Styela clava: one gene and its partner. The protein of the gene in region 1 interacts with the protein of each later gene in a pairwise test. Links are inferred from orthologs where the notes say so. Each region holds a gene or a part of one and is shown on either strand. Other genes may lie near its edges.

Region 1 (16,564 bases):
ATTTTCCCTATTCCTATTTCAAAGTTAGGTAGTCCAAATCCATGAAATCATGACAGCATGACCAGGTAAATCATGAGCAACATCTTCTAGTTTTGCATTTCAGTATTTTGCCGTTAAGGTTAGTCTATATAAATCACACAGCAACCTACATACTGAGATACACTAATACCTGAATACAGGCTTAAAATTACAGCACGACCATGAATACTGAAAATCCTATAGCAGTGTTGTGTTTGCTTTTGTCATCAATTTATATTAGGGGTCTGGTATAGTTTAGTACCACAAGTACTTCCGGTGGGCGTAGCATAACGAATTTTGCATATCAATCAATCAATCAATTTTATTCGGTCACTCTGATACAAACAAAACACAAAACAACAACAAAGGGACAAACAAAATACAGAGAACCTGGAGGACGGGCATAACTTAATAAAAAAGTTAAATACGTACAAGTACGTGCCCGTCCCCCAAAAACAGAATAAAACAAAAACACGGTGTAACATCGGGCAACAACTTATAAATTCAAATTAAAATGTGAGACGTGTATGTGCTTTTCCTATACAGATATATGGATTAAAACACTCGCTGACGAAAAATGGTGATGTTGTGGGCCTACTTCAATTATATTGTAAAAATAACACAGTGACAAATTTTTTTTTACTAAAAAACAAGCTTGGTAAATGGATTGGAGTGTTGGGTTCTTTTGTCGTTTTCGGTTGGTTCACTTTAAAATCATTGTATCCGTTCCAATGCTTCCAACATTAATATCGAATTTCCACGCACGACCACCATTCGGCCATTCCAACAGGTGCAGTGATCTCATCTTTTCTACGCTCTGTTCCATCATACACGACTAGATTGATAAAAAGATCGAAACCTCGCAATATACCCGCAACAAATCGTCCACCATTCAACTTTAAATCCAATCTTTTATCCATAAACTTCTTTAATTCCAGTGGATGGGCTTTGCTCATGTTGATATTACGCGATACAGATTATAGATACCGAAACATACAACGATGAGTAGCATTCACTAGTCTTTTCAAGCTGACACGTCCGCACCCGACGACGGTCGGAACGGAGTGAGCTATTCCTGACTATGTCATCCAAAAACTACGTCACTACAACGTCACCATCACGTCATAGGGATCGCCAAAGTATAATTACGATCGCCCGAAATGACATCTGCGCCGCCGATAACGAACTTGCTAAAGCCGGCGATCTCTCTCCTATAGTGATCGTTGTGACGAGAAAACGAGAGAAATTGCTTGCTCGATTTCGGGTGATCGTCTGTGCGTTTTGGACGAGCATCCGCATACTTCGGTGGGCCTTATTACGCCACTGTAACGTCGAAATGACGTAATTTTTCGGTGACGTAGTCAGGTCAGGTGGGGGTTAGGATTGGCATTGCAAAAATTGTTGAGCCAGGTCAACTAGAAGTACATGTGGTACTAAACTATACCAGACCCTATATTAGAACTAAAAATGACTCAATGCTGCAATGAGATGGCGCGTCTTTATGTCTATGCCTACTGCAAGATACGGTACCATACAACGCAAAAACAGCAAACGCCCAACAAACCAGCTTATCGCAAGACATCTGGATGTGAATAGCTACAAGAACAACCATGCGCCCAAGGTCTTTAGTTCGTAGTGTTGTGTGGAGTCAAAAATTGCTCAACGCTAGAATTATATGAATATGGAGTTTTTTGGAGCGGGAACTCTTACACACTTGTTCACATGTTCAAAACCACCATTTTTAATAAAATATTTAACCACGTTCTGCTAACAGGTACTGACAGCTGATTTCAGCCAAGTCTGTCGCAGCTTTTTTGATACTATTTTTCAAATATAGCATTTAAACTAAAGCTCATCAGAGAACATTAAACTATTCAATTTAAAACTTATTTTCAAAAACACAACACTCAAAACTGCGAAATCGAGCCGGTGTTTACGACCACACTTGAGCGACTGCACAAATTACCATTGTTACGTCACCTTTGACTTATTGCTGATTGGTCATTGTTAACAAGGAATTCGATACTCCGGAAAACATTCATTTAAATAAATTTTGTATCAGGTAAAAAAAGAAATCGAGGGTTCAGCGGAGGCTATTGAAATACAGCAACACAATACCAGGAAATATTCGCAGTCCATTATTGCTCACGAAAATGCGTTTTGTGTCAGAGGGGAGGTTTGAAGACAATGGCACGTCTATTTTTGCTCACGAAAATGCGTTTTGTGTCAGGGAGGAGGTTTGAAGACAATGCAGAGAGGCAGCAAGAATCATAATCTTGTATATCGTAATTAGTTCTTCCTTGTCATTAGCATTCGCGCGTTGGATGCTAGCATGGTGGTTTTTTCAAGCTGGAGCATACAAGTGGATTTGAGTTCCAGGAAATATAGTTCAAGCCTTAGGAGAGAACAGTTGAGTGGAAGCTAAAGCAGTTATGGGTGCCGCTGCTCGATAACCAAATTTGGTTTCTCGCGGCTCCCCTCACCCTGAAATGCCTTTTATTTATTTGTTACAATTTGTATATCAAGTGTGCATTTAGTATGGTGAGAAAATAAACTTCTGAAAAAATCGCTTACTTGGATGGATGCGCAATATATGAAAACTCTAGGGTTTGTAGTATGGATTCACTATATTCAAAAATTCCTGACACTATTTAACATTTCTCTCCGACGCAAAGTTGACGACTGAAACCCCGGAGATGTCAGGAAAAAAATAAAGCGTATGGTAACCCTAAACCAGCATGCTCTGACACAATAAATAAGCGCCAGTATAATCACAGAGATATGAGAAAAATGTGAGTGTCAAGACTGGGAAACATAACCAGGGTAAGTAATAATTAATGGGATCGGTGCACGTTTTATCATGAAACACTAAATAACCAAGTGGAGATCTAAATGAAATATCACATGTAAATCTTAAGCAAAAATGGTAGTGCACCCACATTTCTATCGAAGTATGGTAGCACATTATAAAAAAAATATACGGTAAGTTTCGGATCCATGAAGTTATGAAGCTGAATAAATGTAGAATAGTAACCTTTATGTACGATTATTACTGGACTTGTATCTTTGCCACATTGCTAATGTTACTTCATTCTATCAGACTAGTGATTCTCAAAAATAACTGGTCGTATGCAAGTCTGATTTTGAATTTTATACTCAATGTATCCAAACTTAAAAAATAGAATATTGCATGCAAATAGAGACAAGGTAGTGCAATGTTCATCGATGCAAAAATAATCACCAACTATTGAAAACTAATATATAGCGTCTCAATTGATGAGATTATCATAGCAAGACCATATCATATCTGTAAAAACAGCGAGGCTAAAATGCAGAATACAAATTATGTAATGAAGTTATGGCACTGCTTGTGATATAGATATGATGTCTGTTATCTCCTTTTTGAAGAGTTGTCCATGAGTTGCAACAGGCAAATCAGGTTGCTTTCAATCAGATGTTCCGTCATGTGTACAAACCTACTCCAACATTACTATTTTTGACCGCATTGAATATTTTCTGTTTTACAGATTCCTGATTCTAAATAGATGATGGTAACAATAATTAACTGGAATAAGTCTATGAAGAGGAACAATGATTAAATAGTCCAGTCACTAAAATAGTCCCTTTTTTAGACCCTCATTGCATGGATGTGGTCAAAGACTTCTTGTACAGCAGCAATCTCCAGTAACAAAAATAGTATTGTAATAGCACAGCCCTACACCAGTGGTTTCCAACCTTTTTTTTCAAGGGATCAAAATTTTTTTTTAAATAAATTTGATAAAAACCTGCGGCCTACGGCTATGCTCAAATACTAAAGGGCATGTAGTACTTTCATAGTCGCAAAATTGAAGGACTTATATAAAACAAAGTAAAATTAGTAACTTTTAGGTTTAAAAACAAGCAACCCAGGAAAATCTTCACTTCAGGCGGCTCAATTTTGAGCTGTGAACCATAGGTTGAGAAACACTGCTCTATACTACAGAGTGAAAAAAATCTCTGAAAAAAGTAATGAGAGGCTTCCATGGAGTAATCACCGATGGCCATATATTCACAAAATTCTAGTCTAATCCACAACTACCATGAGTATTTATGTTACAATATCATAAATGAAATTGTGACTAGCCTTATACTTACTACTGATATTTTAAACTGAGGTGTTCCTAGCAGCTCAGTAAAAGCTTGAATTGATAATGAATCTAGTTGATTATTTTCAGTATAACAGATGTAAGCAGTTGCAGGAATATTTTGAAACTGACAGTGGGTGATGACTGTGAAACAAGAAAAGTGCATTAAGTGTAAAAGTGTAATTTTTTGATTACTCTCAGAATGTGACGCGGGCCATAGATAATGAAGCGGCCTGGGTTTGAACCACCCTGGTCTAGGCTAAGATAAGGTAATTATAGATTGATCACTGTGGGAATTTTCATCCTTAATAACCTTACATTGGTTGTGGCTCTGAACTTGACATAATGAATTCTTGGATTTGGAAGGAAATTTCTCAGTTAACGTACTCAATAACGTACCCAACTCTGTACATCAGACTGAAAGATTAATCTGGCATTAATTGATAAAAGCCTATGAAGGCAATATAATCAGACCGGCAACTAACTACTTGACCATTATACCCACAAATTGTATTAATTTTTGTTAGCTTCATTCATAAAGTCTTGAAATCATAGCATTTTACCACAAACAAGTATTCCCTGGGAGCTACAAGAAACGTCAGTTACTGCTAAATACGAGCTAGTAAGTTATCCACGTAACGAGCTATAACCTTCCAAATAATCCTTTCTTCCAAGAGGCTTTTCAGATCTTTGCAAGCTGTGACTTAATATGTATTATTTTTACAACCATGAATGAAAGACAACACGCTTGTGACAGAATCGGGCTTGAATGAACAAAAAAATAAACGCTTACTTGCAGCAGGTATACTTTTCATTAAATTTGGTTGTTCAAGTACAGTAAATACTGGATGATTCTTAGGTTTTGTTGTTGTGGATAGAGATCTTACAAACGGAGTATTAATTGAATTCATGTCTTCACATTTATATTCATGTATCGTGGAAGATGACAAGACGAACACATCTTTTAACGGTTTGACCATATTGAAGAACTGAAATTGATAAAGAGTGATGAAATGTGAGATTAAAATACAACAAAAAATATTGCCAAACAGTTCTGGATTCTCAGTAAAATATTGTCAGATTCTGTAATTCTCAGATTATGTAATGCATATACAAACGAATAAAATTTCAAAAAAACCTAAGAATTAATTACCTTTGCTGTCCATGGCCAAATTTGTTCTGGTGGAATATATGACTTACAGGATACAAAAATATTCCTTTTTTGTTTATTAAATTTTTCATAGATTGTTGACACTGAAATTAAAGTATATTGTATTGTTTTATCTGAAAGTTAAACAATGACAATACTGTTTTAAATATTGAAAACTATCAAAATTTAAAACATCAAAACCAATGTTGGATGCAGACACCCCCTTGAGACGAAACAGACCATCCCTTGGGATGATCATCATTTCCTCGACTGAATCAGTCAGATAATTAAATTAGATACTTTGAAGTAGTAGCGCATTAATTAGATGCAGTTATGGAATCTATATTCATGTTGTTTGGAATACTCCAATTACTGTATTTTATCTCATTTCTGAATATCCAAATCAATGTTTTAAAGATGCAAAATCATGCTATATGCCAAGTTTTCCTGTAAACAATAATTTTATACATTAGAAGTTCCACTGTATCAAATATGATTGTGATCAAGCGAATGCTGAAAGCTGCTCTGTGTGATAATCCTGTGCCAACCACTCTCGAATGGGTGGGAGATAATTATGGCCATATGCTATATGATTGAGCAGTCCTATCGTCTCTCCTCTCCATGGGATAAATATGACCAGATTCATTAAATTGAGACCTCTAGGTGAAGTGATAACATACATTTGCAACAATTTATATCCATCATAAAATTGCAATGTGTTCTTGAGTTACTTACCGATATTAGGTTGTTTTGAGATAGCTTCATAAATACAATCGTCCTCTTTTGAATTTTCAATGATTTCAACTACTTTGTCAGAATTCTGCAGGTCATAATATATTTTGAGAAAACCTAAAGAGAAATGTTAGTTTATATTTCAAAAGGCCTAGTGAATTACATCACAAATTTAACATCGTAAAAGTTTGTACAATAATATTATATTATAAAATATATAAAAACTACGGTAGGTCCGTAAAAAATAAACATGAAATAACTCACTCCATGCGACTTCTCCAGCAGCAATAATAAGATTATCACACTCTAATGCTTTCTGATCATGATCTGCAGACCATTTCAACACCAAGTCTCTAAAATAAAATATCAATAATCAATCACGGGATAACAATTGAAAACATTATATACTGTATGTATCTAGATAATTGTTCCACAATGCCTTTATTTTGATACATTTGTTCTTAATTTAAAACTTTGCCCAGAACATTACAAATCACATTACAAAAACAACTCTATAAAAAGCTATTACACAACCTCATAATTAACAAGTTTTCTTGCAGCGACCAAGAACAATTTTAATGGTAACAAGTCAAAAATTACCGACATTCAGCGATTTATAAGTTGAATCAAGATAAACCAATTTCAGTCTTGATGTTCATTAACATAGAAACAGAAGAATACCAAACCTTGGTTTAGAAGCATTCTCCTCTTCCTCCTCGTCAACAGCTCTTGAAATAACTGGTAATATTTCTCCATGAAAAGTTGCCATTTTGTAACAATAAGTACCGGTATGTAATATCAATACTATTGAAAATACAACGGACGTTGGAAAACATAAAATGCAATCAATGATTATACTGGACATGTGCATACTGCTAGAAGTTACTGTGTCAGGATATTGTGACATCAAACAAAAATATTTTCATTCGAGATAAAGAAATGATGTGAAAAAACATTTTTATGACCTAATACATATTTATGGACAAATCAAGTATTTGAGATGACTTGGAATATGAGCACAGTAAAACAGTAATTAAAACAAAATTCGAACAACAATTCTGTATATTATGCGCATTTAGGGTGCACAAATCTGATTTATTATTATGCAAATAGAATGCATGGCAGAAACATCTACATATTGTAAGATTTAAATAGGGGCACCTTTATTAATCTTATACTGAGATGATGTTGAATATAGACAAGATTTTTCAAACAGAAATAATACAAACACTGCTAGTATATAGGACTACATAAGAAACTGAATATTGTTAAAAAAAATACTGCGAATGTAACTTATGATTTACAATTCGGTGTTAATAATAGAAAAAATAAACAAAAACCTGGTAGTCAATACCAAAACATACAAAGACAATATAAATGTATAAAAGCATAATGATATCAAAATCAGGACATTTAAACTGTATAGAATGGCAGACCTTGAAAAAAACAGTTTAATTAGGCAAGGATAATTGATCAGTCAAGCATGTGATGGTGGATAGGCCTCGTAGGGCGGGGCTTGCCATAGTGTGATACCATCAATAATAAGACAACAAAATAGTCCAATCTTCTTCCAATCGGAGAGAGCCAATGATGAGAGTTGGGAATATATATTTTAGGAGTCCGACAGCATTAAATCATATCAAAAATGTCATAGAAGCAGGGATGGCCAATTCGAATTAAGTATTCGAATATCTCGTCATTCGAATATCGGAATTCACGTTCATAAGAATATCGGATATTTGTGTGACGTCACACATTTTCCACGCCGCTTTCGAGACGTTTCCGTTGAATAAAAACATTCTCGATAGAAACTTGCGCGTGATTGATTTCATCACTCATCAGCGTAACGTGTTATTTAGGCCCGTAAACGCCTTTACGATTGTGTTATTTTCTCTAAAACGAAAATTTTCTACAAATTTGTTCCACGATAACGATAACATTTATTTTATTTTTGTAGGCGCACGGAATTGTGAATCTGGTAAATACGTTCATCGGCGGCGAGTTTCTAAAGACAACGCAACTTTTTGATTGAAAAGCGGCAATTTAAAATACTGAAAATAAAACCGTAAACAATATAAGTTTTATTGAGGCCCGCAAAAATTTAAAAAACGATTTTCTAGGCAGTGAAAATTGCAAAATTTCGTGGGCCTCTGGCACACATTATGTTTGGTCGGCGTTTAGAAACATATCGTCACTAATTGAGGGCGGGATTTGCCTGATTATCCATTACCTCAAATTGCCGTCGAATATTTTCGTGTTAACACGATACAAGGTTTGAAACGCGACTTTTTCCCGGGTTGTGAGGATGTATATAATATAATTAATCTAAAGTATATTCAATCAATTTTATTGTGATGAAATAAATTTTACTCTGAGATATTACAGCATATTTATGGATTTTTCGAACGGTTTTATCTAAAAATAATCAGAGTGGCAGCATTTCGATCGAGCGAAGTCACTGTTAACAAGTACATCTAAATATTTGCCGAATTCGCAAAATACGGATCAAAACAATATTTTATCGGGCAGTTCACCTCGCGTTTTTATTTTTATGACCGCGGATTGCAATGGTATATAATAAGACTGGTGAGGATTTTATTTTGTCGACGCAACCGCAGGTTAAATTGAAGACAATTAAATTAATAAAGCAAGACATTTTAAATATGCCCGTGTCGGTCACGAATTCATCACTTTGCACAACAGAAAAATATATATTCGTTGTTATATTATTTGTTGTAAAAGTCGACTCTTTTAACAGGTGGCATAATCGAGGCGATGAATATGAATTTTTAATTTACTGCTGAACTTTATATGTATATTCATTGTATGAAATGAATTATACTCTACACTTAACAGGATTTTATATAATTATTTAAGATTTTTCTTACGGCGATAACGAGTTGGCAAGATTGCAAAAACACGTATTAAAATTAAATACATCAGGCAGTTTATCTCGTAATTTTAGGTCACAGATCGCCGTGGACCGAATAGTATTGTTTTACTATTACGTTGGACACATTAAATTAATATATAAAGATATTTTAGAATCTCGTAGTTGTCATGGATTGAATATTTTACGTAACAGGATGATCATTATACGCTGAAAAGACGGCTCTTTTAACGAGCGCGTTACAGGCGGCAATGGAAATTTCCGATTTCGAAAATCCTGGCTGCGCGGCTGGCAGTGGTGGTCATCTATTCTCTACTAATTTATTTCTAATTCCAAACACAGCAATATGTTACACATAATAACAATATGTTTCACAAAAATTACTATACAAATATACAAAGGTATTAGAATACTCTAGGCTTAAATATTAGAATTTTTAAAGGCATAATGGATTTTTGATTGTTGTTGCCTGTATTACAAATAAATTTTATTACTCTCAGAAAATATACACAATTATCTGAATACATGTAGTATTTTTGTCAATAGACTTGACTATTATCGTATATCATGGTACCACTGATAAAAAGCGTCAGTCAACTTCTTGGCTATCTTTTCATATGGTCATTTGTACAAATGAATAATTTTAATGAACTGACTGTGTCACAAGTTGCTATTATTTTTTATCGATAGCTATAAACTTTGTGTACATATACTGTTGGTTTGTGGCTTTATTCTGATATTTCTATTGAAGCTTATTTTCTAATTTACTGGGTTTTAATCAACTAAAACAAAAATGTGTTATTTTCGATTTTAGAATGTATTCGGAATTCCAGATTCGAAAACATTATTTTAGAATGTATTCGGAATAGTTTAGTATTCGGAAATGGCCATCCCTGCATAGAAGGTTGCTCACTCAGTTGCTACTCACAGTGCCTTGAGCTTACTTTCATGAAAAAATATGATTGATGAAATTTCATCCACACGGAAATGTAGACAGAAATAGGTGTGGCCATTTGGATCATGTCGCATGATTTAAAATAGACATTTTAGTAAAAATCATTCACATATCACAAACCAAAAAACTAATTTAATTATTTTTTATGACAATTCATGATATTTATCAATTCCGATTCATCATCCATAATCTCATTGGCATCATCAACATGCCCCAACCGGAACATGACAAGATAATGGAAAACACCCAAAGCAATTTATAAGAATCCCCAAGTCTCCATAATTCTGGCAATTTGAAAGCTTCACCTCCAACAGTAACTTGTCGAAACCCAATCGGAAATAACATTCCAACATATGATAAACATCCAATTGCTATAAACGCCATCCATCTTGCATAAATTAGTCTATCACGCTTCCAATGTGAAGATACAACAAGTAAACATGTTATCCCCAAACAGACAATTCCGGCTACTAAAAACAGTCGAGTCCCGAGCCATTCTGGTGGTAAATCTGGAGCAAAACAAGATTGTTTTCTGCCATAAATCGTTTGACATTGCATTGTTAGACCCAACGTAATATCACCAGCCCGTCCACCCGTATTAATCCAATCTGGGTGTCCAAGACTTGCAACAGCAAAAACTTCAGCAGTGACAAATAAAACTCCTGATATTATTGTTAGCTTATCCATTATTGAATACTGGAATAGCTACCTTGAGATTTTTTTTATGAAAAGAAAATATATATATATATATATATGTATAAATATATAATATCAGTATTATACAGATATATAACAAAACTGAATACTTAAAAATATGGGGGTTTAGTGCACCTAATCGCAGAGACACCATAACGACTTTAACGATAACCATAAATAAACGATAAATTTATAAATAAATAAAAATTCTGGCTGTTTTTTCACATCACATTTTTGTTAGCCGTTTTTTTAAGCAGTCGCGACATTTAGTTTCATGTCATATTTTTGTTTGGCATTAGGCTATTTAAGTTATGGCATTTAGCCTACTTCACTAGACTCAAATATGGTGTGACTTGCTAGGTATATTACCGGTATATAATTTATATCTACAATTTTCAGATTTTACGATATTATCTTGCACAGTTGCTAAGCTGTTGGCTGGTCTTTGATTCAATAACTGTAAAAACTTAATTCTACATGTGAACAACTGCTTATGTCTATATGTCCGTACGTGAGAATATGCAGCAATCCAGGATTACAATAAACCATAACGGTACCGCATACACCGTACAGAACAGTACCGGTACCAGAGCGGCATCGGTAGTCTACAGTTACTGATAAGGCAGTAAGGGTAAGCGATAACGTTAACTCCTACCTGTATACTCACTTTGCATACCGCCAGCCGATATTATTGAACGCGTGCTATCGTCAGCGTTTTAATTTTGATTTCACATACAGGTATTATAAGTCCCCTACTGTCAGACTGTATTTTAGGTTGAACATTCAATATCACATTATATAAAAAACATTCAACGATCGTTGATAAAATAAAAACACTGCGCGGCGCCGGGCAAACTCCACAACTGAGCCTTGTACTTCACGGCCATTGAAATGCATGCATGTAGCCTGATTGCTTGGTATTTATTTACGGCCAGAGTCCTTTCAGCTCCGGATTGAAAAATGTCATTTTTTAGTTTCCCATCAATCTCTAAATTTAACAGGACGATGAAGACTTATTATTATCCCATATTAAATAAAGTAAGTGTTCATTTATTTTCAAAAATATGTATTTTTTTGAAATTATGGAGTCCAGTAGTTTTTAACTCCATCTATAGAGGACTTGCACGGGTCACGTGACCTTGTTTACTGGACGGCAATAAAACAAAAACGTCCATTTGGCTCCTGTCAGTTGCAAGTCGGATTATACGTTTCCGTTTTGTTTGGCTGTTGAAAATGGTTATTTCGTATTGTTCCGCTGGCTGTACGTATAGTATAGACAACGAAATGGATCTTCAGTTATATTTCACTGTTTTCAAAAGATACGGAACGTCGCGCAATGTGGATATCATCTATTAGCAGGACTGCTTGGTGTCAAGTCCAGAAGCCATCTCACTTGTGTTTCACTGTTTGCGGACAGCACTTCGTTGATGGTAAGTCATAATGTGCCGTTATCAATTTTTTTTGAATATTCAAAAGCTAGCTCCCTCATTTTAATGGAAAGCAGATGACAAACTACTGTTGTTGGTAGGCGTAGGCCTACTTGCAGGCTTGACTCGTGTAAGGTATTAATCAATAATTGCCATAAGGTATTGTTTCCCAGGTAGCAGGTAATCTATTAGTAAGTGTGAAAAGTTGAATAGATAACTAAAGTTTAACGCCAGTGCTAATGCAAAAAATAACCAGAATTCAATTGAATTCTCCATCTAGGAATACGCTCGCCACCGCATCTCTGATCCCCCCGGGAGTTTCACAGGTTCCAATCCCATGCGGGGATAGTTATGTGCGAAGGGATTGCAGCTCTCCTCCCACTGAGGGTGGATTACTACATCCCCCACCATCAAGTCCATGCTTCTAAAACAAATAACTGGCTAACTAATCCCGACATAAAATGGTAATCGTACGATGTTGCACCTTGCAATCTGTCCTCAACCACAGATAAATTCTATCCTAAAAACTACCCACATTGGTAGGCATTGTTGCGTTTTAAATTGAAAGAAATCTTCATTTAATGGTCAGAAGGTGTTGTCTGATTGTTTTGTTAGTTAGCAGGTAATTTATTACTGATCTGATACACAAACTTGGCACTGTCAAATGATGATTAGTGTTTAATTTATTTTCAGGAAAAAGGGAAGATAACCCATTATCAGCTGCTTATATGTCCCATCCATATTTGAATTTTCGCCATCCCCAGAGAGGAAGAGAATAGTTAGAAAAAGGGGGATTTTGAAGAAAGGCAAAAGGCAGGACCATTTCAACAAATTCTGTCAACTTGTATGCGTTGCAATATTAATTTGCAGTTGTTAGCATAAACATTTAATGTGTCTTTCGACTGGACCTACCACACTTTAAAAAAAACCGCCTACACCTCTTTTCACTAGAACCATTATACTGTAAAATATTTGATATAAATTACCCCCGAGGCATCATATCGCCCATTTGAAAGGGCTGTGGAGGCAGATACATTTTTTACTCTAAATTATGGAATGTTACTTCCAGGTTATCTTATCCTTGCTTATAGATATCTTGAGGTTAGTGACTCCAACTGACCCATGCATGCCACACTGGAAATTCTCTTGTGTACCCATAAAATAAGGCCTTGAAAACAGTCGAATCTGAGCACGATGGATTCATGTGAAACACGTAATATGCATTTAGAGGCAGTTATTTGTTTTCAGAAGCATGGACTTGGATGGTGGGGAATGGTCGTAACCGATCAGCGGTCATGTGAACCACCAGTAGAGCCGCAATCCTCTCGCACATAACTATCCCCGCATGGGATTGAAACCTGTGAAACTACCAGGGTGATCAGAGAGGCGGTGGCGAGCGTATTCCTAGATGGCGAATTCAATTGAATTCTGGTTATTTTTTGCATGACCACTGGTGTTAAACTTTAGTTATCTATTCAACCTTTCACACTTAGTAATAGATTACCTGCTAATTAGGGAAACAATACCTTATAGCAATTGATTATTAATTCCTTACTGTCTTACACAAGTCAAGTCTGCAACTGCAAGTAGGCCCACGCCTAGGCCTACTAATAACAGTAGTTTGTCATCTGCTTTCCATTGAAATGAGGGAGTTTGTGAATATTTAAAAAAAATTGATAACGGCACACTATCACTCGCTATCAACGAAGTGCTGTCCGCAAACAGTGAAACACAAGTAAGATGGCTTCTGGACTTGACACCAAGCAGTTCTGCCAATAGACCAAAGTTACCCCAGCCCACACTCGCTCAGCCTGACGTCAAGAGGTTAACCAACTATTTTACCACTTTATAAACGTTATTACATAAAAACTTGGTGGCTATGACAATATAGAGACCATATGTGATATACACAGATCAAATGCAATACCAAGCACGGCCCAGTTACCCCTAGTATGGCCTGTCAAAAACGAGTGTGGGCTAGCGTCTCACGAGTGTGGGCTGGCATCCTACGAGTGTGGGCTGGCCTCAGCACCAGAACCTCTCATAGTCCGGCAATTGATAGCACAAAATGGCCACAAATGCCTGGAAAATGAATCAAAATCAACTGAACAAATCACTGATATCTCTAACCAGAGTTGCCAGATATGACGGTAAACAAGACAGAAATTGACCGTCGAATCTCAAAAAAAGAAAATTGAAATCTTTGCTAAGTGACTGTTCTTTTTATGAATAAAAAAACGGAAACGTATAACCCGACTTGCAACTGACAGAAGCCAAATGGACGTTTTTGTTTTATTGCCGTCCAGTAACAAAGTCACGTGACCCGTGCAAGTCCTCTATATTCTATAATGTATGTCAGGCATGTCCTACCTTTTTGGTGTCGCGGGCCACTTTCACGTGGGGAAATTCATTGCGTGCCGCAACGTTTTTACCAAACTTAAATAGCAACCCAATTCCGATTTACGTTAGAATTTGAGCGTCGCTGAATCAAACGCCTGCATTGCACAGCAATTTTGCGAATTTCTGAACACAAGATGCACGCAAAGACCAGGAAATTTAACTGACCTTTTATGAAAAATGCATATACATTGGCGTAAATAATCAAAAGAAAAAATAAAGTCAGCTATTTTTCTCTTCAACTAGTTCAAAACTTGCTTTTGGTTTCCATTGCACAACTGTTTAATGTCAACTGGTAGCTTTAATATCGCACAATGTAACTAACTGGCTAACTAAGCCAAAATTGCGGCCCGCGAGTTGGATATCCCTGATCTATGTGATGGTAGCCTACATCATGTTGAGGATTGACCACAGCCGCGATGATTACCCAATGTGTGTTCGTGGATTCGAATCCCATGGTGGTCCACACAACTTGTGACCATGCCAGCTGCATAAATTCTTGCTATTAATAGCTTCAATATCAATTGTTACTTGTTAGGTTTTATTTTTCTGTAAATTTAGAACATCGATATATCTAAGCTAAAGCAAATAGGAAAAAAAGCAATATGAAGCCAAAACTAGATGCAGCAAATTCAATATGAAAGTCTAGAATAAATAATGTGTATCATAACACTAGAAAAGCTACAAACATTTCAAAATTATAAATATTATATATAGACAGAATGGACGCAACTGTGAATTGAGACCTGGTTTTGGTCTATTTACATCAGTAGAGAAGAAGCCTGTTGTTAACTTTGAGCACTGACAAGTAGTGATTGTAATTATTGAAACATGACTTTATAGCAAACAATATACCCTTCATTGAAATAACTAAATAAACTTGCTACGACTACAACATGGATCATGAAAATACTTTAAAATTCAAAACTCCCAACACACATTCAAAGTTTGGATTACAAACCAATCTTGCACAAATTCTTCAATTTTACCGATCGCTTTCTAACTTGGCTGCAGCTTTTTCAATGATATTTGCTGCTTGTCTAAGTTCATCTTCTGACATTTCCGATGAGACACACACTCTAATTGAGGGAGATTGATCTTGGAGCAGTTCTTCTTGTTCTAATCTTGCAGCGAGAGTGAGAGCAACTCCTTCTTTCATGCACTGGTAAACAAGTTAGCTTTTGTGAATGAATTTGTCAACACAGAAAATCTTATGAATTAGTCTACCGTATACGGACCATGAGGCGCACTTTCAGGCGCCTCCCTTAAAAATTGATTGTGCGCCTAATGGATAGATCAGGTAATGCTTCATACTTTATTACTTACACTGTAAACCAGTACCAGTATGAATAAAATACAATAACCATAAAAGATGTTTTTTGTTTAATGATATCTGTACGATAACCCTATACTCCTTAAAAATATATTGATGAAACCTCAATTTAAGCAATTTATTGACAATGCGCCTTATAACCCAATTGACTTCTGGTCCTTGGAATACGGTATTCGAAATTAAAAATTTTTGTGATACATTAGCATTCTAAACCATATTGTGATTATAATGAAATGAATTAAGAAAAGCACTAATCAAAGTGATACATACCATATCGACTAAACTTTCCAAGTACTTTTCCTCACGTTTACGATCTTTAAATAACTTGCAATGGAGATGAAAAACTGGTGATTCAGGATTTCCCACGACTTCAAGGCTTGGAATGCTGTGGGAAGGAAAACTGCCATTAAAATTCAAACCTTTTCCTATACCTAGCCAATTTCGCGCTTTATAATATTAAGACCATTTAAAGTCATCAAGAACAATATGAAAACATTCTACGAAATTGAACAAATTCCGTGAAAAAATATGGCATGTAAATATACTTACTTGCTTAACATTTGTTGCATAAAACTTCCATTTTTTCTCAGAATTGAGAATCTACCTAAAATGTTAAAATTGGTATAAAACACATTAATTATGTTACTACAGCCTTTTGATGTAATTTTGAATGTCTTGAATGAAAATGCGCTTCATCAGGAATTTGTCTATAGAATAGTGTAATACTTAATTAACAACTAATTATGAAACAAATTCGATATTCTATAGTTGAAATAAAAACAGAATCTAGTATCTTCAACAGCCAGTCTTTTAAAAAGATTATTAATTATAACTTAGCATTG
Region 2 (15,417 bases), on another chromosome or scaffold:
GATGAGTAATCACAAATTTCCCGCTATGCAAAATGGATTTTCCTCGCATGCATTTTCGAGAGGCACTAAAGTCAGGACGTGCACCTGCCACAGGATCGAGTCTGGGGCATAAGTTGCACGGCGTGCGCCTGCAGTGGTAGGAATATGGAAGCCTATAATAAATATGTCTGTGCGGGGTACATTTTCTGACCTTGTTCTCAAGCGATTCCTAATGAAAATAAATTTGTTCGATTGAATTATAAATATTGACCATGTATCATAATATTAATATGTTTTAAACTACTATATTTGCCTATAACAAATGAAATGGAAATTGAATGATGGATACATGTTCATGCAGGTAATGAAATAGCTTGTATCTTTATTGTTGATTTGCTTCTGTCAGACCGAATATATTGATGACAAATTTGGCATTAGGTGATTCCAATTATAATCAGCTTGACGATACCTCTTGAGGAAGTATTTTTCTATCCACAGTATTTAACTCTTGTTAACTAGTTCGGTATCCAATTTGGCAATCCTCATAAAATTATTAATTTGGTGTGGTAAAAGCATTTGTTCATTTTTTTTATTTGTTTTTATATATTTCTTTTTACTGAGTAATTTAATTGATTTTAAGTCTTGCTTTTTTCTTCTAGGAAAATGTAATACAAGCATTATAGTTTTAATATTATTTTTTCAAGGTATTGGAGAAAATTTGAAAGGACAATGCAACCTTTGACTGAACCAAGCGTGGAACAAAATGGCACGTTGCGCAAATTTCAATCAAAATCAGTTCGTGGTTTGAGCATAGCCGTGATTGTTCTGGGCATTCTGTCGTTTGGTGTTGGTGCAGCCATCCTCACTTTTGCCCTTCTCCAAACATGCTATTGGAATGATTACCAGAGACGATGTGACTATGAAAGCACATATCAATCAGCTGGAATTTGGTCTGGACTTGCTTATATCGCCAGTGGAGTGATTGGATTGTTTTCATCAAGGCGTAAAACAACATGTTTTATAGTTACCTTGATGATCATGTCAGTTGTAACCGCCTGGATTGCCACCTGCAGCATTATGATAAGTGTCATGTCACAAACTGATTCAGACCGGACCGGACCAGATAAATACTCATATCCGTGGACTTTACGCATTTTGGATGGCTGCATCACTCTGCTGTCTTTCATAGTATTCATTATCTCATGGGTGAAATTTGGATTTGCCTGTCACGCTGTTTGCTGCAATGGAAAGGAAGCATATCCCAAGATAAAGCAATATGTTAATAAAGGTTACCAACCACTACAAAGTCAACCTGTGATGTATGCCAATAGTTCTGGCCCGTCTTCGACACCTGCTGTCGGAATGCAGTTTTCTACTCCACCCGTGCCACAACCAATGGAACCAATCTACTTGGTTCAAGGTCGTCAGGTAATTGGAGTGCTTCCCCAAAATATTGGTTCTGTAAACCAATCACAAATGCCTGGAGGAGCAACTAATGATGTCGATAGTAAACCCACCTTTCAAGACCCCCAGCATGTGTAGGCATGTCACTCATCTACTGCTTTTTGCTGAATTTATTTACTTATACACAAATGTATTAATAAGTAAGGTACAAATATTGACAAAAGAAACAGCCACCTTTGCCTAAAGTTCATATAGATTGTATATAACTTCTAAAATGCAATAAGTTTCTTCTTCTACGATAGTTTTTCTTTATCTGTGTGTCTACGTACCAGATTAGTCTTTAAAAACGTTACATTACTGTCTTGTACCATAATGCATATCTTGTCTTCATCATATCCGTTATACACAACTTAAAAATATATAAATTCATGAAGATATATTGCATTATTATCTGTGTCTTACTGAAAAATGTAGTGGAGCCGTCTATTTAATGGCCAAAAAACAATAGCTGCTTATTATAAAGTTGGGGCATTGCACAAGTATGGTGAAACCCTATTTTGCTGTCCCTTTCCAAATTAATATGAAGGCCGTTGAAATTTCTAAAAGCAGTCGCTTTCAGCTGTTGAGCTTTTGATATCTGGTTCCTGTAGAGCATTACTCATCCAATGAATCCGAGATTCAGCAAACGCCTAAAACTATGTAGTCCCCAAGACTGCATAATGACATAGCGCACTCGGCCCCTGAGTTATGAGATACATGGATTTGAACAATGAAACCAAAAAATCTGATCCGTGAGCCTCTTATTATAATGGGCCAATTCAACCACTCTCGCTTCTGAAAGGTTATGATTATATTTACTAAATGTATCAATAAAACAAGTATTAAGTTTGCCCCTGGAGGTACAATTTCAAAATCGTCAAATAGTTGTATTATTGTTAGGTATATTAGTGCATATAAGTAAGTCATGGATGAACTTTAGGAGGGGTGCTGTGTTTCGTTGTTTTATCAGCTTTTGTTACCCAAAATGAATATGATCAGTGATTTTCTGAGTGTTATACATGCAAGACCGCAAAGCCGCCTGTGTGAACTGGAATGAACTCCAAAACAGTCGGTAGATACCAAAGTATGACAATTTATTAAGAACCTATTGTACAAATGTGTTCAGTTTCAAAACTTCTAAAAGATTGAAAAAGATATTTGTTAGTTCTTCATCTTTCCCAGCAGATGCAGCATCAAATAAGTTGCGTAAGAACACTCTATGTTCACATCCAATCAATTTCTTTTTGACTTCAGGTGTACTGGCAATATAGGATGTGATTTCTTCCGCACAGAGTTTCCACAAAGGGCAAATTTCTTGCCAAGATTCTTGGTAACTGTAAACAGAGTTTCAACATGAGACAATCATTCAAATGAATATGTTATAATTATAAATGCAATGAAATATTACTTACTTGGGACTGACTTTTGGGTGACCATCAGTTGGAGATACCTCATATGCATCAAAAAGAAACTTGAATATTTTACATAAAATGTCATCAGATATGGAGCATGATGATTTGTTCAATAAAATTGACGAGAGTGGGTATACGTACCCAAATGTTTGAATTGACAATGGCTTTTGTACTAATATTGTCATTATAGAAAATATTTTACTCAAGTCGTTGTGATAGTCTTGACATTCAACATTAGTCATTGTAGAACAAACACTTATTAGGCTTTGTAACACAATATGAAAAGTAACTAAATTATCCATTTTTCCTGGGTAGTGTAATTTTTTCTCAATTAAATCAATAACGCAGATGAGGGATTGCAAAATACCATTTTTAATTATAGTGTCATGGGTGCTCATAGCACTTGCTGCTTGCATCACTGCAGGCAAGGTGCATTCTAGCAATAACAAGTTTTCATGCTTTACGATATATTTCAAAACCTGCTTCAGTATTGGAAGTGTTTCATTGCCTTGAGCTGAAGTTACATTGTTCTCAATGTTAAGCCATGACCCTAGAAAGCGAATACAAATAGGAAGTAATAAATTCAATAATTCTGTATCTGGGATGCCTGTTTCATCATCAACTGAATAAGATGAAATAAAAATAGACACACTGTTGGCTAAATCAGCCAATGCTGGTTGAGTGAGTCGAATTTGCTCAAAAGATAGAATATCATCCTTCTCACTATCATTTTGTTCAAACTTGGCAACTGCTGAGCAAAATGCTTCCGATATGAAGAAGCAAGACATGATGACCGATAGATTTTCAGAAAAGTTTGACTCTATGTCATTAGAAATGTTTCTTAAAAACAGTCCAATCTCAATGCATGACAGTCTTGTCACGATAACAATAAAATTTGTCTTTTTCGAATTCATTGTGAACCAAGAAATACCAAACAAGCGAAAAATTTCACTGGCAAGTTGTATCGGTGACTTCCTTTGCTCGGTGTTAAGTTTACTACACAAAACATCTTCAAGGCCACACATGATGTCCGTTATGGCTTCATGATATCCAAGCAAATGTTCGCTAGAATATGCAGTTAAAATTTGGAACAGGTGAGTGCAAATAGTGAATTTTTTATTTGTTTGGTCTATCTTGAAAACATTTGCAAGTGATTTGAACCATTTTTGAAACTGTTTGTTTTGCCAAAGATGGGGTTGCTTTGATAACAGCATAGAAATAAAGTGATGGCTTTTGTCAGACTGCTTTTCACATAGACACAATGTATTAAAAGCATCACTTTCAATGATCTCAGAGATGCAGTCATCAAAATATGTAAGAGCAATGAGACAATCCATACAATCTTCAATTACAGATTCATATTTCTCTTCGTTGGAAAACAATTTAACAACTTTAAGAAGATGTGGTACAATAGCTTCCAGGCCTTCATCTCTAAAAAACTCAACATCAGCACAAAATGACCACAAAATTGACATCCCGATCGAAACAAAACTAAATTTGTTTTCTTCTGTTGTTTGTGAGCATGCAGTCTTGACAAGACGCAATGGAAATTGAATTCCAATAGCTTTTAACAATTCCTTTCTGTTTTCTGGCAAAATAGATCCTCCTCTCGTTAATTTTGACACAACAAGCAAGGCAGCAAATCTCTCATTATCAGACTTTGCTTTTTCAACCATAGATAATATTCCTAAAAACTTCTCATTAGAGATTTCAATTATATCTTCTGACATGATTATACTCTAAAAATGTAGCAACAATAAGAATATGTAACTTGATTAAATATGAAATGCAAATCAAATTTCTTATTTTTTTAGGCCATGATAAAAGACATTCTAATACAAATTGCAATCATTAGAAAGTTGCAAAAACTTAATTCTAAATGTTTGACAAACTTCTTCATGACACAGACAATAGTTTTAACATTGGCAGCGAACCAAAATAACAGATACAGTCCAAGGAATTCATATTTTATAGCAAAATCCGATTGTATTTCTATTATAACCACAAGTATTGATATGATTGTGAATTGACAATGGGACTTAATTAAACTTGGTTTGAATTGATTGTATTAAAAATATGGCTTCTAAGTTTTGTTTACTCTTGACATATTTCCAGGTATTTTTTCAATATTACGAACAAGAAAATAAAGTATACTATTGTATCTAGCTATTGAGCATTCAAGTTCAAATAGCCTATTAGACATTATGATTTGGTCATTATTATTTCATACTACTATAACATTTTTTCTATTTGATTACATGCATCTAAGACTGAAAGAATGTTAAAAGTAACAATTTACAGCATTTTCAATAAGCTGGAATGAAGTGACATTTCTGCATTTAGAACATAAAAACGGACAATTTCAGAATATTGACAAAGGTTGTCTTGCACCATATAGATGCTTCCAAGATGCTGGGAAAGACCAAACAGTTTTCCCATTGTCTTCACTAATTTTCCTATAATTTTTCCATGAATTTAATGCATTAGCTAATAAGACAGCCTCTGGTATATTGTCTCCTTCCGAGCAAAATATCATCAAAATTACTGAAAAGAAATTTGGTTCAGAAGTCACACATTCGTCATGGAAATTTTTCGCAAATCCTCCACCAGGAAAAAAATAGTTTTTGTCACCAGAATCCATTAATCGTTTCTGAAGTTCTAAGAATTTTTTATCTGTCAATTCTCTCTTGTTTTTCTTGTCATCTGGATGAACCAAAAAACGCACAGGTGAATTTCGTATTTCATTATCTGTTCTTTCGTATGCATGACAACTTGTCAGCAAAATAACTTCAGAAAATCCTTTGGAATTTATCCATGATACAAAATCTGTAGAATATTGTTTCTGCTTTCCTGCAACAAGTGGAGCTCGCTGCTGTGAAACTGCCAACTTCTTGCTGTCGTCAATAAATAGTTCAAGAGTCAATGTGAGTGAATTATCCGAGTCGTCTTTGCAGAAGGCATTAGATCCGACCACTGGAAGAACACATGAAGTTCGTAAATATCCCACTTTATTTAGTTCCAAGGTGTTAATCAGAAGATCACATGCAAGTTGGCCCACATTTCCCACTGAAACTGCTGGTACTACCAGTGTGTAATTCTCAAAATTTATTTCCTCGTTTAATAAAGCGAAGAATTCCATCTAGGCCCGGCCTAATATACTTAATTTTCGCTGCTTTAATTAGCGCAAACAAAACGCGCGTGAAACGTGAACTTATGAAGGAGCATGTTAGGTAAATCCCCTAAATTTATTTGCTCACATGCGGCGCTAAATTCCTAAAAATATTCTGGACATTCCAGGGATATTCGCAGAGCATATGACGGGCCATTCGCCGTATGCCTATATTTTTAAACATTTCGGCTTCAAAAAAAAATATCCAAAAAAAGTAAAGTAAAAAAGTAGGATAAAAGTAATGTACGAGGATTCCAGAAATTGTGTCATTAGTAATAACTTGTTTTTATTTGTCAAAAAATTTCGTCAAAGAACAAGAAAATCCAATGTCTTCGAAATTATTTTTTTAGTTGTTTTTATTTTGCCTTGAAGTTGTTGCTGCCATGATTAGCGGAAACACTAGAATTAATGGAATTAAGTACAAAAATTATTTTTTTAATTGTTTTTATTGTGCGCTGAAGTTGTTGCTACCATGATTAGCGAAAACACTAGAAACAATGGAATTACGTACAAAAGCCACTATTCAAATTGACAATGTTAGCAGATGATGGTACTGTGTTCATGGAAAAGATGTCAAAAAAGTTTAAATGCTCTGTTCGAAACGTTATCAAAATTTGGAACAATATCTGGACGCTAATTGATGTCAATTGGTAGCGTAAGTATCCTAAAACTTTGCGTTTTGAAAGATGAGAAACCTAACTTTGCATGTCAAAATTTGTATAGTGAAATTTTCGCTAACCAACCACTACTACAAAATAGGGAAATAGTTTATAGAAGAAAGCCTTTTTATTCAATCATAGTATAATGAAGGTGTTGAATTGTTCCGATAGTCGTTGAACATAGTTAATGATAACGATTGGCTTGTTTTGATTTGCGTGAACACTATGGCAGGGCATCGGAATACACCGAATACTATAAAAGGATGTATCACACATGAATGGCTGCAAAATTTTCATAATTTTGATATAGATTCTTTTATAACTGAACGAAGAAATATAACGAAAAACAATTTATTTCACCAATAAAAGTCAAAAGAGTAGACGACTTATTTAAATGAACATTCCATTAATAATTGGAATAAATATTGTACCAATGTTTATTTTTGTACTATATTGAGACAAACCCAAGTTTTTCAACAATATACTATTTTGTAGGGCATTCGTCCTGAATATTTTATATAGCTTTAATTTAGTAGATTCGAACAGTGCATCCGTTGAGAACATCAATCACATTTTCTTTGAATGTGATTACTCATCAATATTCCGGCAGCAATAGAACCAGTAGGCGTTTCTGAAAACCGGTATTAATTTCTCGTTCACCAAGATGAAGTGTTTTTACTTTTTAGGCTATTGTAGGCCTACAAATTTCTTTGGCCAGATTTGTAGTTGTGTCGTGCTTGCCCGTCGATTGGACACGTTAGTGGACATAACGATCGTTTCAATATTATGTTGTTGTTGTTTTATCCTTGTTCTTTGACACGTTGGACACCTAGTGAAAAACCTAAAAAGTCCCCTTTCTCTTTGATTACTTGATCAATTGCTCCGAAATTTTCAGTTGGTAAAGATAAAATTTTTCTTTAGAAGGCTATTACTTTCATTTATTTCAAACGTGCCCATATATTTAAGCATAGCGCTCTTTTGACACTATCAGAGATATTGAAAGACAACTGGCATTGAAAATAGCGAAAATACTCAAATATAACAAAAAATGGTGATCTGCCCGACAACTCGGGTGCGGAGGTAGATGTTTTTGATGCATAAGAGTAAGCACTCTCATGACGTCAAGCAAAAATACTGAAGGCATCGGCTCACATTTTATACGGATATAGTGACTTTAGGTACAGGTTGCCATACCGTCCGGAAAATTCCGGACATGTCCGGAATTTAGGGTTAAATTTTGTCTCCGGGAAAAATTTAAAAAATGCTCAAATGTCCGGAATCCGGAATTTTACGGCATCTGCAATCCTACTGTGCACACTGCTAATAAGGAACATTTTTATTTCGTACCGTGCGCCTAATTTTTACTACGAGGTCATGAAAATAGTCATGCACTGTCCGGAATTTTGCTTTTTCAAATATGGTGACCCTAGTCTAGTATTCCAGACGAAATGCCTTGTCCAGAACTAAGCAAACTAAAATATTTGACTTTTGAATCGTCTAGATCAGGGGTGGGCAACTTCTCTAGTCGGCGGGCCAGATGTGAAAAAATAAAGCCCTCAGCGGACCGGATTATTACAAAAAATACTTCGATATCCAATTTTTGTTAAATGCTCGACACTCTCTGTCAACTTCACGTTTCTTGGGATAATCCATGGTTAATAAAACTTAATATAAAATCTAATTTCTAAAATCTTTTTATATTTAGGTTTCAAATATAACTGATAACAGTAGTGGGGAATGTTTACGACGCTTTCTGCTCTGACCTTATATTGCTTGTTTAACAAGTGTGCTAACGCAATTGTTTGTTCACTAAGGCAATTGTTTATTTCACCAGCTCGCACTGACAGTGCGGTGAGAGTAGAGCGATCGGCAACTTTCACGAATGATGCGTCGGACCACATTACAGAGTGTTGTACAGTCAGCAGGCTGGTCAAAAACTCTCCGTAAATTGCCCACCCCTGGTCTAGATTTTGTAGTCAAAGTTTGACCCGTGACTCGATAATAATTAGAGACTCAGGGTCTTCTGCTTAACACTTCAACTATACATTTTTTTATTATATATATATATATATATATATATAACTCTATTACGGTAGTTAAACGGACCTGCCGTAATTGCAGTACTTAAGCGGACGTCGTTCCTGTGTCCGTATCAATGTTTTTAAATACGTGCTTGGAGAGCGCGAGAGCCGTTGACAACTAGGGAGAAAAAGAGTCAACATAATCCTCTCGAAAACAGATATAAAATTTTTGTCCGCTTAATTCGTCCACTTAATTCAGACCACCAAATGTTTTAGCCTATTTCGGCACTAAGCCGGACCCCTCTTATATGTCGCTCTGGATGTCTACATAAATGATGTTGCTTTTATTTTAATACGCATTTCAAAGCGTATGACCTCGCTTCAATTTCCGATGGATTCGAACGATTTAGCAATATTTATCACAAAAAATAGCATTTCTTTTTCAATGTTCCGTCTTTCGTGCATGGGAGATGCACTGTGTTTGGTTTTGGAAATATTCTTCGATATCAAAAAATACTCAAAATGCAACGTGAAGGTATACAAATCGAAACAAATTGATCCAAACGTGTTATATATTTGAAACTGAGAAATACACAGAGCATATCACAAATGTTCGCCTATTCCAACCCTATGGTGTAACATATGGATTAAACAGATGCTATGTTGTGAGTGTCAAGATATCAATACCAAGTCAAAATTATGACATTCCAATAATATTGATAAACATTACACAAAATATATCTCAAATGTCAACTTATCCGACCACCTAAGGGTGGCATACAACAATTGAAAAAAAAATTCTTAAATCATATTGAGAAACATCTCACAAAATATATCTCAAATGTCCACCTATCCGGCCACCTAAGTGTGGCGTACAAGAATTGAAATGAAAATTCTGAAATCATATTGAGAAACATTACACAAAGTATATCTCAAATGTCCACCTATTCGGCCACCTAAGTGTGGCGTACAAGAATTGAAATGAAAATTCTGAAATCATATTGAGGAACATTACACAAAGTATATCTCAAATGTCCACCTATCCGGCCACCTAAGTGTGGCATTGAACATTAAAATGAAAATTCTTAAATCGTATTGAGAAACGTCATACAAAATATATCTCAAATGTCCACCTATCCGGCCACCTAAGTGTGGCATTAAACATTAAAATGAAAATTCTGAAATCATATTGAGAAACATTACACAAAGTATATCTCAAATGTCCACCTATCCGACCACCTAAGTGTGGCATAAAACAATCAAAATGAAAACTCTTGAAATCTTATTGAGAAACATTACACAAAGTATATCTCAAATGTCCACCTATCCGGCCACCTAAGTGTGGCATGAAACATTAAAATGAAAATTCCGAAATCGTAATGAGAAACATTACACAATGTATATCTCAAATGTCCACCTATCCGGCCACCTAATTGTGGCTTTCAAGAATTAAAATGAAAATTCTGAAATCATATTGAGAAACATTACAAAAAATATATCTCAAATGTCCACCTATCGGGCCACCTAAGTGTGGCATACAAGAATTGAAATGAAAATTCTGAAATCATATTGAGAAACATTACACAAAGTATATCTCAAATGTCCACCTATCCGACCACCTAAGTGTGGCATAAAACAATCACAATGAAAACTCTGAAATCATATTGAGAAACATTACACAAAATATATATCTCAAATGTCCACCTATCCGACCACCTAAGTGTGGCATACAAGAATTGAAATGAAAATTCTGAAATCATATTGAGAAACATTACACAAAGTATATCTCAAATGTCCACCTATCTGACCACCTAAGTGTGGCATAAAACAATCACAATGAAAACTCGGAAATCATATTGAGAAACATTACACAAAGTATATCTCAAATGTCCACCTATCGGACCACCTAAGTGGGGCATACAAAAATTGAAATGAAAATTCTGAAATAATATTGAGAAACATTACACAAAATATATATCTCAAATGTCCGAATATCCGACCACCTAAGTGTGGCATACAACTATTGAAACAAAATTCTGGAATCGTATTGAGAAATCTTACACAAAATATATCTCACACACTTAAGTGTGTGAAATTTACCTGAAATACGAAATTTCGAATACTAATCATATTTTGATGTTGTGGAAAATTGCTCAAAATTTATCTCTAATGTTCACCTATCTGATAACTTGAGAGTGACAAATATTATAAAACAAAATTTTGAAACCATATTGAAAAACAAAACAGAAAATAAATCGCAAATCGTAACTTACTCAGCTACGTAAGTGTGTCATGTAAATGCAAAATGATATTTTGGAATGGCAATAATATTGAGAAGCATTCAAAAAAAATTTCAAGCATCCGACCATTTCAGAGGGTATATAATTAAAACACGAAATTCTGAATAAAATATCGAGAAACATTATACACAACATATCTCAAATGTTCAATTAAGTGACTTTTCAGTGGGGCCTATAAACGCTAAACGAAATTTTGCCATGTCAATTAAAATGAAAAGCATCACACCAATTATAACTCAAATGTCTACCTATCAGGGCGCCTAATTATAGCAGTGATTGATTATACAGTCAACTATACAAGCGATCAAAATGAAATTATTGAACCTCAATATCAATTTAGAATCTTTGCACAATTTATTTAAAATTTTTGCACCAACTCGGAATACAAAAACATGATTGTTATTTTGAATTTATAATTAAATAGTAAAAATGTATGCCAAGTATGTATACGAATGTGGATATGCCCACTAGGTTAAGTTGTTGAGGAGAGACAAGATTATGCTCACTGCCGGTTCATCTTTATGAATTATACAGAGATGTCTTAAAGCTTTACAATAAAATTCTCGCAAGATATACCAATCCGTGCAAATATTTTTCTTTTCGTCGTTTCTTTTCTGGTTCGCGTTTGTTTAAAAGCTTTTTTTTTAATTGATTTACAGCCTTTTTCTTTTCCATATATATGGTTTTATTTGAAATCACTTACATTGCTTATTGAAAGTGATTCTGAAGATGGTGCGGTATAGTCTGTTGACTTATCTGAAACTTTGGTCAAAAATACATGCATAAGTCACAAAACATCATCACAGTGTTTTAGTCCAATTCAGAATTACGCTACTCTTGATTGATCGAACAAACGAAATGTTTGAAATGGATAATTGCATTATTACTCAAATAAACCAGAGTTTCTAAAAGGTGCACTACAATTATTCGTAGATAGCTGCGCTATTTGTGATGGGCTACAAATGATATTATGATTTGGTTTATTACCATTCATTGGTATCAATTTACGATACTGTATTTAATAAAAAAAACAAGCATAGCAAACTCATTTAGTCACCTCCTGGCACAGCTTTCTCCGAATCACTACCCGCATTTCCGTCTGCCAAGTTCTGAAACGTGGGCCATCTCGTTGGAGAGTCACCTAAATGTGAACAAAAAATACAGCCCAGTAAATAACTAGATGAGGATGGTAAAATAACTCAGGGATATGTGCCAAATCACAAAACAAAATTGCTAGCAATGCAATTCTTCAAGACTGTTTTCCGAAGATGAAATATTTTAATCTAATATGGAGCGGTGTATTAGATATTTTTATTTACACCAAACTATACAAACGTCAACCACTCGCTTCTCGTATATCCTTCTTTTTCGACAAAAAATTGAATTCATTGAATTTTCACAATCTTCGTTTGTATTTTCATCTGGATTTGGAATCCTTCTGAATTACACACTCTTACAAACGCAAACCCAGTCGTAGCATTATTTTGATGGTCAGATCAGAACTACGACCAGTAAAAGCATAACAGTATCAGTAGTCTATATTTTGATAATCTGGATTACGTGAAAAATCTCAACACCAAAAATATAGTAACCCTGATATTAAAAATTGTTATGACTAATCACCTTATCCGATGAGTGATGATTTCCAGCAGCATTCCTCGGTGACGTTGAAATCCTTGCTTATTATGACTCGACTTCAACTCACTGGGTAACTGATAACACCTGACACAAAAGACTTGGATCGCTTCTCCAAACACAACTGTTCTATTTTATCTAAATTTCGGCAATCACGCACTCATGAAGATCCCAATCCCCTCACGGCGTCCAGGTTACTTGCGAACAAAACGGCAAACGTGGTAAAGTTCTCGGCGAACCCGACAGTTTCACTATTGCGTCACAAAGCCTCTTTAGTACGGAGTTGTGAATTGAGGTCCTTTTCAGTTTATTGAGCTTATATTGTAAAAAACAGAACGGACGATCTTCATGTTCTGCCTGGTTATTGTATCAAAATTATCAAACCTATTCTCCAAAAATCGTAAAAACATATACCGAAAAATTAAAAGATTTTTGCATAAACAAAATGTCCACTTTATGTACGAAAATTAAACCCGTTGATTATAAACCAGCAGAACCATTGTCCCCTTAAAGTTGGCGAAAATGTGCAGATATTTGAAAAATATTAAAGGAACATATTATTTTTAATACTGTTTTAGGAGAGAAAAAGAGATTTCATCAAAATATCGCAAAACGTTTTAATTACGGAACGTGGAATAATTAAGCGGACAGGAAAATGTCTACCCAATTTTTCCGTCTACATAACTGTCGCTTTTTTAGCGCGGTATGTCTACTTAACTACCGTATTAGATATATATATATATATATATATATATATATATATTGAAAACATGACGCAAAATGGCACTACCATTAGGACATAATTAATTTATGAAAATTAGCAATTTGAATGTCTTTGCAAGAATGCTTACTTTTTTTTATCATTTTAGTTCAAATAGCGATGTTATTCACAAATTGGATTCTTGTTTATGTATTTCGGACATTGCCACGGGGAGCAGCGCGTATGACAGCAGGGATAACAACTATAGAAAAAACTTAATTCCATAAAATAAACGGAACATATTTGAGGATTGAGGGGAGGTATCTAATAAAGTCACTTGGCAAAGTTAAGACTTTTTCATTTTCCTCAGCGTCGTGCAAGAGTGAATTCTTTCCATCCGTCACCATCACGTTGACGACTTCTACAGATCTGTATTGTCGGCAGCACGACATCATGACAAATTGAAAGGTTTCGTCTGTAATTACCCAGTTTGCTTACTGTTGTCGGTAGCACGACACAGTGACAAATTGAAAGGTTTCGTCTGTAATTGCCCAGTTTGCTGACTGTTTGTAGATGTGTTGGATCGGGCGTAACGATAGCTTAGTTCTATTTATCATTAATGTGTAAACAAATTGGTCATATCTGCTGCTCTGTTTTGACACACCTGCTCGTAGGGCATATGCGATTTATTTGTAGATGGGAAGTTTTATTAGTTGTAAATTAGTAGTTCAAATAACAAAACAATGTATTAGGGAGTGGAAGTGGCTTAGAAAAAAGAGATGGCTATGCTGTTTTGTTATTGCAAATGAGTTGTTTTGAGATACTGTTTCATTTTGGTTGTTGTTCATATTGCCCACAAATTAATGACGCGGTCTGTTGTTTCTTGGTTAAGGATAGAATGCCGAATAGCAAATGTATCATCCCCCTTTTCTATATTTTAAAGATGAAATTACTATTGTGAACCCAAGCATCATCCAATATTCTACTAATATTCTTTTCTTGCACTATTTCAGGTATTTTGTTCCTAATTTCAATTGCCCTAAACACAATTTGTTTCAAGCTAATATTTCAATTGCATTACGAAGCTCTGAATATAAATCAAAACATGCGTAATTATGATTATTAACTTTCAGGTGAAAATATTTCGGAAACTACCGAAGGTTATCCGCAAACGCACGAGCAATTAGAAGCAAAATTTCACGCAACATGCCCTGAACAATGCACCTACATGTACGAAAAGACAAGTATAACGGTATTTTATGAACTATGTTTATTAATCATGGGATTACTTACAACGGTATAATAATGGTGTGAGTGTGTGACCACAATGCGTATACCCAAATCTGAATTTACTGTTGATAAAAAATAATCTGCACTTAAATCCAGATTTAGAAAAGGTTTTCAGTTGGTTCCTAGAGCTTATTTTGACTACACATTTATGCAGCACATTGTTATATTGATATTAAATATATCACAATAACAACAATATACTTATTAAGGTCCTGGCGTCTTTCCTGCAGTCTTTTGTATTGGGGTCGGATAAACATATCTTCCAAGTGACATTTCACCTTTAACGAAAAGATTGGCTGTTCAAAAAGTATCTTGAAAACATTTGATCACGCTGTCCGCAGTTAAGGGACTTCGATTTCTGAATCTCGCTGGTACGTCATTTTCATTAATTTTTCTTTTTTGTTATATCACATTCAACAGCTAGCTTGAGGTGCTTGACTCCAATAGTAGATGTAAATTTCGCGACTAATCGTAATACAAACGCAAATGCAACATGTCTAAAATCGTATTATTGCTAGAAACTGGGTTCCTGTAGAAAGGATAGGATATGTATACATATTTATTTCGGGGTTGAGGAAAGCTGATAAGACGACTTAACCATATGGCGAAGCAATGCCCCTGGTCCGGTTACCAATCCATGTCGGGTATGGGATAAATTAGTTATTTGTTTTTGGAGGCTTGGATTTGATGGTGGAGTAAGCCGCAACCGACCAGCGGTAACATGAACCACCCTGCGGCGGCGAGAAGACCAGCAATCCTCTCGCACATAACTCTCCCCGCATGGGATTCGAACCTGCGAACCCACAAAA

Evidence for each region.
Region 2: the proteins of proteasome assembly chaperone 1-like (region 1) and proteasome assembly chaperone 2-like interact in binary tests that used the Homo sapiens proteins (3 or more experiments, as listed by UniProt). The link is inferred for Styela clava from reciprocal best matches to the Homo sapiens genes PSMG1 and PSMG2.

The regions. Positions count from the first base shown.
Region 1 is NC_135259.1:12,680,492-12,697,055, forward strand, and holds proteasome assembly chaperone 1-like, read right to left. Parts: upstream 6,932-16,564; coding exon 6,711-6,931; intron 6,378-6,710; coding exon 6,289-6,377; intron 6,142-6,288; coding exon 6,028-6,141; intron 5,397-6,027; coding exon 5,296-5,396; intron 5,132-5,295; coding exon 4,936-5,131; intron 4,287-4,935; coding exon 4,153-4,286; intron 3,556-4,152; coding exon 3,481-3,555; 3' UTR 3,151-3,480; downstream 1-3,150. Other genes in the region: modulator of smoothened protein-like, read right to left, coding at 10,035-10,556; serine palmitoyltransferase 1-like, read right to left, coding at 15,375-15,551, 15,993-16,107, 16,272-16,326. UniProt on the Homo sapiens protein: Chaperone protein which promotes assembly of the 20S proteasome as part of a heterodimer with PSMG2.
Region 2 is NC_135261.1:18,494,786-18,510,202, reverse strand, and holds proteasome assembly chaperone 2-like, read right to left. Parts: upstream 6,072-15,417; 5' UTR 5,974-6,071; coding exon 5,197-5,973; 3' UTR 4,573-5,196; downstream 1-4,572. Other genes in the region: uncharacterized protein LOC120329396, read left to right, coding at 318-340, 684-1,521; neurochondrin-like, read right to left, coding at 2,528-2,756, 2,835-4,564. UniProt on the Homo sapiens protein: Chaperone protein which promotes assembly of the 20S proteasome as part of a heterodimer with PSMG1.